3 linked regions of the Macaca fascicularis genome follow. The main gene of each other region encodes a partner of the protein of the gene in region 2 in a complex. Links are inferred from orthologs where the notes say so. Each region holds a gene or a part of one and is shown on either strand. Other genes may lie near its edges.

Region 1 (3,500 bases), about 69 Mb from region 2:
CTGAAGGGTGGTAGGCAGCAGACTCCAGAGCAGAAAAATTATCAACATCAAAAATTAGGTATCAGCGCTACTCAAAGAGGGGCTACTCTGAACGGAAGGACTGATCTTGGTTATATAGACAAAAATACACCTGCACCTGAAAAAAACAGAGAAGGCAGCACTTCTCTGTTTGTGATTGCCCCTGGGCAATCACAACTTGATAGAGAAAATCTCTTTTGCTTTATTCCAGATCACTTATTAAGCACTTGCTATGAGCTAGATGCAAAGATGGATAAAGTGGATTCTCTCCCGGCCCTCAAGGGGTTTGTAATCTTGTGGAAAGCTACAAATAATTGCTCTGGTTCTTTTCCATCTGTAATTCCATATAAGTGGAAACAAATGACTGGTATTGTTTTCCAGGAGAATATATCTCCCACTGTATTAAAAAAAAAATAGTGAAATAGTATCAACGACTTTTTAAGACTAGATAGCATTAAATAAATTACTTAGATTCTGGTCACTCCAAGGAAATTATTACAACTGAATTTCTAAAAGAGCAAAACTGAGATAAGATCCTGTAGCTACAGTCGCTCAGAAAGTAAGTCACATAGTAAGAGGCAGGCCCTACCTCCTAATAGCCATTACCCTGAATACCATTCAGACCTCAACAAGAATGAAATGCAAAACTTACTTTTTGGCAAGTGCTCTTCTTTCCTCAGGAGTGTAATCTAGAGAACCTATGGCTCCCTCTCCTTTTGTTGGCATAAACCCAATGATGGCTAATAATGCTGTCCTTACTGAAATAAAAAAGTAAATATCAATCTAAATTGCTTTGTAAAAGCAACTGGGTTTATTCTGGAAAAAGAAAAAAAAGAGAGTATTATACTTCATAACTATGAATTGACTGAAGTTATAAGAGATTTATATTCACTATAAATTAACACTTACTACTCCACGAAGGCTGCCAAGTTTCAGGATGATGTCCTGAGATGCTCAAACAGATTTTCTTGCCCACTTCAAATCGTCCATTAGCCTGAGGAATAAACAATACATCTAGAAAATTAAATACATGTGTTTAATGTTTATACTTTCTAAGTAAAAATATACTATTTATATATAATAATTTTAGAAATTATCTTAAAAAGATTTTTTAAAAAAATGTAACCTCTAATGGGGCACAGATTTTTTTGTCCTTATAGACTCCAAAAATACTTGTTGGATGCTGAATAATAAAAGCTGTTGTTAGAAGGTGTTTTACAGCACCTTTTGAAACTGAGTTGCACAACTGAAATCTAAATAATTAACACATAAAGTTTTACTGGCCAGCGAAGTGGCTCACGCTTGTAATCTCAGCACTCTGGGAGGCTGAGGCGAGAGGATCACTTCAGGCCAGGAGTTCAAGACCAGTTTGAGCCACCTAGTGAGACACTGTCTACAGAAAAAGAAAAAAAAAAAAGAAAGAAAATTAGCCAGGAGTGGTGGCGTGTGCCTCTAGTCCTACCTACTTGGGAGGCTAAGACAGGAAGACTCCTTGAGCCCAGGAGTTCAAGGCCACAGTGAACCATGACTGCATTGCTGCATGCCAGCCTAGGTGACAGTGTGAGACCCTGTCCCCAAGAAAAGAAAAGAAAAAAAAAAAAAAAAAAGAAGAAGAGAGGAGTATCAGCTAATACTTGTTAAGCAGCTTCTATATGTCAGGTACTTTATGGTGTGATTACAATTACCAAACACAAAATTCCTTTTGACTGATGAGAAAACTGAATTTTAAAGACATTATGTAACCCACCCATAGTGTAATGGAAAGAGCACCAGTCAGAATCTAGGCCTACTGGCTCTTAAACAAATGCTCTCTCTGTTATACAAAATAGAGGTAAAAGTAGCATTAATTTGGTATTTATTGACGAATACCTGTTGTTTCACCATTTGCTACTCCATGTGGGTCAGATGTTTAACTTAGATAGAACAGGATGAAGACTGAGAAGAAGCAGTGAGATTTCTCAAACTAATCTCTGAGACTGGTGTAGTTTCATGTTTCAACAGGGCACTATGTGTGGAAGGTGGACTGCAGCAGGCTACACTAGAGAAAGGATGCCTTGGAGGTTACCAAAGAGAAAAATAGGCACAGCTTAAAGTGGTAACAGATACAGGGGAAGGTTTTTGTGTTTGTTTTTGCTTCTTTCAAGGTTAGGGGATAATTAAACATAGTTAAAATTAAAGGAAATGAGAGAAGAAAAGCATAACAATTGAAGAGGAATTAGATCAATAGTTTTCCTTGGCCAGGTATGATGGTGACTAGCACTTTGGGAGGCTGAGACGGGAGGATTGCCTGAGGCCAGTAGTTCAAGACCAATGAGACCATGTCTCTACCAAAAAGCTTTTTAATTAGCTGGGCACAGTGGCATGTGCCTATAGTCCCAGCTACTCAGGAGGCTGAGGTGGGAGGATTGCTTGAGCCCAGGAGTTTGAGGCTACAGTGAGCTATGTTGGGCCACTGCGCTCCAGCCTGGGCAACAGAGCAAGACCGTGTCTCTAAAAAAAAAATTTTTTTCCTTCACATGAAGAAAAGACATGTAAAGTTGGAGAGAAAGAGAGAAATTCTGAGATATAAATAGTAATAATAATGCTAACACTTATTGAATACTCTGTGTCAGACTCTATTCTAAGAGCTATACAATAAGATATTGATACTTTTCATCCCACATAAACTCAGTGAGGTAGGTATCATTATTCTCTTTGTAAAGATGAGAAAACTGAGGAAGAGAGTGTAAGAAAGGTGGGAAGTTGAAAGAGACAATGTGATTACAAGGCACAATAACATTAGCTAACCTTTAGTGAGTACTTATGAAGTGCCAGATGTGTATGCCCAGCGCTTTTCATATATTAATTCATTGAATCCTAACAACCATGATGTGACATTTATGCATTCAGTTGTATCATTTTTACTTCTCGGATGCATCAGCTTCCTAGGAATTATTTTGGAGGAAAAAAATTGTAGTCCCAGGGCCTGGACCCCAAAAGCAAAATTATACTGTTCTAATATTTCTTAATGAAAATGATTTGCTTACTATATTTTGCACCTACCAGGAAGAGTTAAGTCATGAGCATTCTAAAAATCCAAAATTCTTACCGTTAGGAGAATAATGCTTGGTGGTTTCATGGGATACTCTGGTGGCAGTACTATCCGCCCATGATAAACTCCTCCATCAAAATCGGAGTCTGGAGGCCCTCTAACCGTGAAGTGCCATTCAAAAAGGTTATCCTGAACAAAAACAATAATCCACAAGGAATTAATAATATTAAAAAGTTTGATCATTTTATCTCAATATCAGAAATATTACCAAGCAAGAAAAACTAAATGCTTTATATTATTGCTAGTATAGTTTCTAATGTATGAGATGTCTTGAGAATGTAAGTGATAAATTAAATTTATAAGTGAAAGCTACTTAATCTAGCTTTCATGTTCCATTGAGCTAAAATCTTTTATAATAAACACATTAAAAATTTCTGTTATATATTCATAG
Region 2 (4,036 bases):
CCCATTTGGAAATGCCACCTAGTTGATTATTAATTCACCTACCAAAAGCTCTTTATACCTTTGTCTTTAGAGACTCTACAAGATAGCAAGAAGGAACAGGATAGTGAGAGGTAAATTAGTTCCTGGCCTAAAAGAATAGGTGAATAAAATCAAAGCAGGTTTGGAGGCTCTTTTTACCTATTTTTGATAGGTGAGATTCCCATACATCTTATAGAATTCAGTAAGTTATTTTTTTCCTTTGTAAATATTTCTTAAAATCAACAAGAAAACAATAAATGTGACAAAGCTCTTATAAAGAAATCATGACACTGACAAGCCCATTATCCATATAATCACATGTAGACAGAATGTAACAAAACAAGATCTTTGAAGAGTAGAAATTAAAACCTTTCTGCAAATGTCCTCAACTTACTTTATCCCACTGAGGTGCATAATGCTTAAGACAATGGTTGCTTTTATAAAGAAGAGAATAAAGAAATCCACCATCTCTGCCATAAATCTGTGGGCCAAGGATGGAATAACATATTCTCTGCCTGTAAATTAAAAAAAAAAAAAAGTTAGGAAAAATGAATCATTTCACACAAGCCTTGGAACACAAGCCATGTAATGAATTGGTAAAGAAAGTCAAGGTACAACTTAAAAAACAGTATTTATAACCTTGCAGCAACTATTGATATTGATTCCACCAAGAACCCATGTTACTAAAAGAGAGTAACAGTACTCCACTATTTACTGAACTTAAAAGTTTGCTTTCATCACTTTAACGTTTAAAAATTGATTTCACACGGCCAGGCACAGTGACTCACATCTGTAAACTCAGCACTTCGGAAGGCCGAGGCGGGCGGATTGCTTGAGGCCAGGAGTTCCAGACCAGTCTGGCCCTTGCCAACATGGCGAAACCCCGTCTCAACAAAAAATACAAAAATTAGCCGGGCGTGGTGGCGCATGCCTATAGTCCCAGCTACTAGGGAAGCTGAGGTGGCAGGATGGCTTGAACCTGGGAGGCAGAGGTTGCAGTGAGCCAAGATCGCGCCACTGCACTATCCAGGTTGGGCGATAGAAGCAGACCTTGTACCCCGCCCAATTTCCCCCCAAAAAACTGATTTCACAGATAAATTCGATTAGGGTATCCAATATATTTCACTAGAATTCTAACGAGGAGAATCCAGGTGATCACATCTAAGTGACAACAAAATTAAACATTTTTTAGTGCAAATCAAGGTTAAATATTGGCAATTAGTACAAAGTAAATCCCTGTAACGCCCCCCTCATTTTTTTTTAGTTTTGCTTTCTTTAAAATAATCCCAATGAGTATCTGTCTGTCATCCTAAATTCTGACTGGCATCAGAGGCATCTATTAGTTCTTGTCCCATCTATCTGTGGCTAAATAAACGAAAAGTCTTAACTAATGGATTAAATAGTAAACTAAGAAGTGTACCTAATTCAAAATATTCTAGTTCACACACAGAAGCAAAAACAATTCCACAATATACAAGATCAATAAGCCCGGGCTTCCTAACTCCACTTGTATCCATGTCAATCTCCTTTTATATCCGGTCAGTTCCACTGTCCTAAGTTGCCAATGTCTGAAGAATTTCCAGCATCACCAGTCGAGCCCCTCCAAAACTGGGTTTGCCATTTGCGAATTTAGCTTTGGACCTCACTCTGCAGAGCATGAAAACCAAAGGAAGAGGATGGTTTGAAGAGCAATTTCTTTTCACGAAGAAACAACTAGTCCCATGAGTAAAGGAATCAATTCGGAGTGCCAGGTCTAAAGAACAATGAAACCCGTATTGCCTCCTTGTACATTTTGGGAATTTAGGGCCTGGACAAACGATAGCTAGTGCACGGGCAGGATGATCAATTAGAGTAGCAGCAGCAGTTACAGGTCTAAAAAGCGTGCCAGCTCCACCTCACAGGTCCCCGAAGACACTTCTACTCTGCCCCGCCTCCACCTCGCGCTTCTCACCTGCCTGTCGCCCGGTCTCGCTCGGGCTTCGCGAAGGGGCTGCGGATCCTACCCTCGTCACTGGAGTGGCCCGGACCGACGCCTGCACATGAGGAGCCCGGGGTCCCAGGCCCGCGACTGGAGCAGGGGTGCTGATGCCGGCAGCTGTCCGCGGGTCAGGCCCCACGGCCCCGGGACTCAGGAAGTAGAAGGGGTTGTAATAGCCCAGCTGCGGGGGCGGCGGCGCCGCGGCCTGGGGAACAGGAGCGCCGCCCGAAGGGAAGCTCTGCGGGGACGGCTGGGGGCTGCAGTAGGCGGGGAAGGCGGCCAGGCCGCTGTGCCAGGTGAGGTAGCCGCAGTAGGACTGCCACAGCCACTCGTGCACTTGCCGGGAGTACTCGCGGGCGCTCAGCCGCGCCGGTCTCTCCCGCGGCGCCGCGGCTTCGGGCGCCTCGCAGTCCGCCTGCTCCTGCAGCCCGGGACCGGAGCCGGAGGCCGCCTCCCCGCGCTTCCTGAGCTCGCGCGGCGAATCCAATTCGTCGGTGGCGGCGGCGGCCGCGAGGCCCGGGGCTATGGGCCGACCCGGGGCCTGGGGTTCGGCTTGGGGGTCGTCGCGGGGGCATGGGACGGCGGTGGTAGCAGGGCCTTTCAGGGAAGGGACGAGCTCGTGGTCCCCTCCGCCATCGTCCTGCCCGGGAGGGCGGCCTCGGGCTTCCTCGTGCCCCTCGGCCATAGTCACCTCAGCAGCACCCTCCGGGGTACCTGTCACTGCTCCGTTTCCCTGCCCCAATAGCCCCTCCCGAACAGCCCGGTCGCCACCGCAGCAGCCGCAGGCGTCAACAATCCCCCGCCGGAAGCGGAAGCCCCGCCCCTCAGGAGCGTCGCCCGCCGCCGGGCGGAGCTGGGAAGGGAGGGCGGGGAGGTGCGTCTGCAGTCCCAGGTTCGGGCCCTAGTAGTCGCTGGCTTGTCGGTAACTGGGACGAGACCGTCGCCTCCTCCCTTTTACGGCTTTAAGTCTGTGGCCCGAGGCCTCTCTGTATGTTCACGTGGGGTTGGGCCTAGTTGTCCTGGGAGAAACTGCAGATGGATGAGGAGCATTTCCGAGACAGGTCCCAGGGCCAGCGCAGCCTTTTCTGTTGCAGAACCGCGACTGTTGTTTTGTGCTCCATTCCAGTTAACCATTAGTACTCGAGAAGGTGGTACAGAACGCATCTATCCCCTTAGAAGATAAGAAATTAAAAACCAAACTAAACTGGAACCTATATTAATATATTGGTACCACTGAGACGTAGGAAAATATATTAAAATATAAGTAGTGAGGTGCTATGTATAATTCAGAGGAAGGGGAAATTATGCACAGGCTAGACTAGTAACAAAAGGCTCCAAAGCCTGGGATATACTGAGGACCTTTCCATAACAGAAAATGAAAAGGCACCTAAATTTGAGACTAGATTTGAGGAAAGGCACAGTTCGCTGGAGTAGAAAGTGTGTGTCTACCGCAGTGGAAAGTAAGTTTTCGGAAATGCAGACTAGCTCCAGGGTGAGGACAAAATTCAGCTTTTAAATCAGTATAATCCCTCTTCTTTTACATTTGAAAATCTCTGCAGCGATATGTCATTGTATCCCCAGCACCATACAAAGGACACAGAAGGGCCAAATACTGTGGGAATATTTATTAATGATATTAATGATGATGCTGTCCGGGCCAAGGGAAAACTTCGCCCTCCGAAGGTTCTCTGAAAGTCACTGACAGGAGGCAGTTAATAGGAGAGAAGACATAGACATTGATTTGATCATCGTTTTATGTGACACGGTAGCCTTCAGAATGAAGACCCAAAGATAACAAGGGAGATTGTGTATTTGTATGCTCAGGTTCAACAAAGCATGGACAGCCGTATAGCAAAATGATTGGACAAAAAACACTCTAACGCCAACAGGCAGGAAGCCCAGCAAGGCCTGTCTAGATTCTCCTTGGGCTCTCTGCAGCATTCCTTCCTTCTGGGTATGGAACAGGACCCTCTGGAATGGGGGCTGTGGCCTACAACAGTTAAACAAGGTAGATCAGATAATTTCTTTCTTTTATTTTCC
Region 3 (2,508 bases), on a different chromosome or scaffold from region 2:
AGGCCCACATACCCTTGGCACACTAAGAAACTGGCATGTGTGGGCAGCAGCCCTCTCTCTGGGCATGCCCAGAGGTGGAGGTCTTTTTGGGAAATGTTGAAAGGACAGGTGGGTAGGGGTGTGGGTGACAAATGGAATCTGGAGCATGCTGTGGGCGAGACCGCAGCAGAAGGAAGATCCCCGCTGTGGGGAACTCCATGGTGTGCATTTTGGCTTTCAGGGTATAAAGGGGGAAATGATAGGGAAAGACTTGGTGCAAGAGAAGGGAAGGAACAGAAACAGACAGATGAGAAAAAGAAGATGACGGTACTGCAAGTGTTTCTTTCAATCCTTGCCAGGCCAGGCTTCATTTAGCCACTCTGGTCTCTTCCTGCATACCCCAGCCCCCGTTTATAGTACCTGGGGAGTGGGGAGCAAAGAACAGGATCAGAGCATGATCTGAAAAGAACACTGAGCCTCCTCCCTGCTGGAACCCCCACCCCACAAAAAAGGTTGACAGATTGATGGTCCAGTTCTTTATTTAGAAACCTGATTGTTCAAGAACATGGTGGATGCTTCACAGCTTTTTCACTGGGATTGTGCTGGAGGTGATGGGCAGCATTCTCCCATTTCCTCAGCAACAGAGGTGAAGGCTCCTCAACTCAGAAGCACAAATTGTAGGGGACAGGGTGGGCAGGGAAAGGGAGAAGGACATCTCAAGGCAATTCAAGAGAAGGGGGTAAAGCAACTCCAAACAGCACTAAGGGCAGGTGGAGGCCTGCTTGCTCAGTGCCTGCTAAGTGTCCTGCCCTCCTTGCTCTCTCTACACACCTCCACTCAGAAGATCCTACCGAATCTCCAGGTAGGGAGCAGGGAATATCCTATCATTAGAGTACAATAACAAGAAAAGCCACAGAGGAAGAGGAAGAGGATTGAGCGAAAGCTCAGGAGAGCAAACATCACAGGCCGGGTGAGCTCTCAAGGTGGCTGCCAGCTGGGGTGGCAGCATTCACCCAGGGCCCCCACACCCACAGAATTGCCCGAGAGGTCCACAGCTCAGCTCCACTCTGCTGTTTGGCCCTCAGGGGTCCCAGGGTGGGGAGGTGGGGAGGAGGCAGGCCAGTCCAGGAAGACTCTGGATTCTATGAAGGGTCAAGTGCAGTGTTGGTCTCAGAAGTCAAATTCGTCCAGGTCCCCTGTGCCCTCCCCACCTTGAGAGCCCCACACCCGGCGGTAATTGCTCTCCAGCTCTTTCTGCCGCTGGCGTTCCTTCTGGGCCTCTTCAGCTCCCGGCACCTGGTGGGAGAGGGTAGAGGTGGGCTGGAGCTACTCGCTGTTGAGCCCAAGGAAGTCCTGGGCCAGGCAGCTGGGGGAAGGCAGGGAATGAGGACACCCATGTCCTGAGAGGCTCTTCCTGCATGGCAGCACTCTGAATCACTGGAACCCTAGCCTTGTCTTACAGATCAGGAAACGGAAGCTCAGCAACGGCATGGCTGGGGCAGGCCCACACCTCCACTCCAGGTGGGCTGGGGACAGGAGGCCTGGGGGCCAGGACTTGGGGGTAGAAGCCTCTCACCAAGATATTGAAGAAGATCTCCTTGAGGTTTCTTGTGTCCTCATCAGTCAACCAACGTGCACCCTCTTCAGTTCCTTCAGCCCATGGGCGGACAATTTTGATCTCAATTTTCCCTGGAAAGGAGCAGTATGCAGTGAGAGGAGAGGATGGCTGGGAGCCTCAGGGCAGGCCCCCTGCCCCACTGGTCCCAGCCCCTCCACTTCCGGCAGCTTGCCCTTCCGACAGTGCTGGGTCCAGCCGCCCTCCAGGGCCCACCTGCAGCTGTGAGTCCCTCCCTCTCCAGCAGCTCCTTCACCAGCCCCTCGATTTGTTTCAGCTGTGGGTTTTCCCGTTTCATCTCGAGGACAGTCAGATCCTGATTAGGGCCTCCGAGACGGAGCTTGGTGACCCGGACCCGGACTCTGTGCTCAGGATCCTCCTCTTAGAGGGGGAGACACACAGGGAAACACAAAGCAGAGGCATGACTCCAGGGTTAGGGGTGGCAGCTTTGGCAGCTATTCCATCTCAACATGTGTATGAGCCAGGGCTCAAAAAAATGTGTGCCCCCACTCCCAATTCAGCCTATAGAGCTCCCTCCACCAATTGCTGCCTTCCGTCTTCCCACCCTACCCAATAATTCTGCCCATCACCTATAGGAAAACAAATGTTTTCTGAAGCCAAAAGCAGGCCACCTGCACCAACAAAGTTTTGTCTGAAGAAGCAGGTTGGAAAAGTGTGGTCTCCTCCTCCATATGTTAGGACTTTAAAGACATTTCAATGTTTATAGGGAGAATGGGATGGAGGGTTTGAAACTGGAACATTTCATTTGGAACATCTGATGTCCACACCCATAGGACCCTATGAAATGGACACAAGGGGATGCAAGAAGAAGACATAATTTAAAGTCTATCCAGGCTATTGGCTCATGTGCGGCTGGGCTCTCCTATTCGTGCCCTGACAGCTGGGGACTCTCT

What was found. Proteins that work in one complex are often made in the same cells at the same time.
Region 1: FAM8A1 (region 2) and UBE2J1 share a complex: the UniProt entries of both Homo sapiens proteins name them as parts of the HRD1 complex. The link is inferred for Macaca fascicularis from reciprocal best matches to the Homo sapiens genes FAM8A1 and UBE2J1.
Region 3: FAM8A1 (region 2) and OS9 share a complex: the UniProt entries of both Homo sapiens proteins name them as parts of the HRD1 complex. The link is inferred for Macaca fascicularis from reciprocal best matches to the Homo sapiens genes FAM8A1 and OS9.

Annotation. Positions count from the first base shown.
Region 1 is NC_088378.1:86,048,087-86,051,586, reverse strand, and holds part of UBE2J1 (ubiquitin-conjugating enzyme E2 J1), read right to left. Parts: intron 3,239-3,500; coding exon 3,107-3,238; intron 1,013-3,106; coding exon 928-1,012; intron 777-927; coding exon 671-776; intron 1-670. UniProt on the Homo sapiens protein: Catalyzes the covalent attachment of ubiquitin to other proteins. Functions in the selective degradation of misfolded membrane proteins from the endoplasmic reticulum (ERAD) and is essential for cells to recover from ER stress.
Region 2 is NC_088378.1:155,292,692-155,296,727, forward strand, and holds the start of FAM8A1 (protein FAM8A1), read right to left. Parts: upstream 2,801-4,036; 5' UTR 2,682-2,800; coding exon 1,970-2,681; intron 1,666-1,969; coding exon of another isoform or gene 1,661-1,665; exon of another isoform or gene 1,303-1,660; intron 534-1,302; coding exon 413-533; intron 1-412. UniProt on the Homo sapiens protein: Plays a role in the assembly of the HRD1 complex, a complex involved in the ubiquitin-proteasome-dependent process of ER-associated degradation (ERAD).
Region 3 is NC_088385.1:64,538,317-64,540,824, reverse strand, and holds the end of OS9 (protein OS-9), read right to left. Parts: intron 1,976-2,508; coding exon 1,811-1,975; intron 1,669-1,810; coding exon 1,556-1,668; intron 1,276-1,555; coding exon 1,150-1,275; 3' UTR 501-1,149; downstream 1-500. UniProt on the Homo sapiens protein: Lectin component of the HRD1 complex, which functions in endoplasmic reticulum (ER) quality control and ER-associated degradation (ERAD).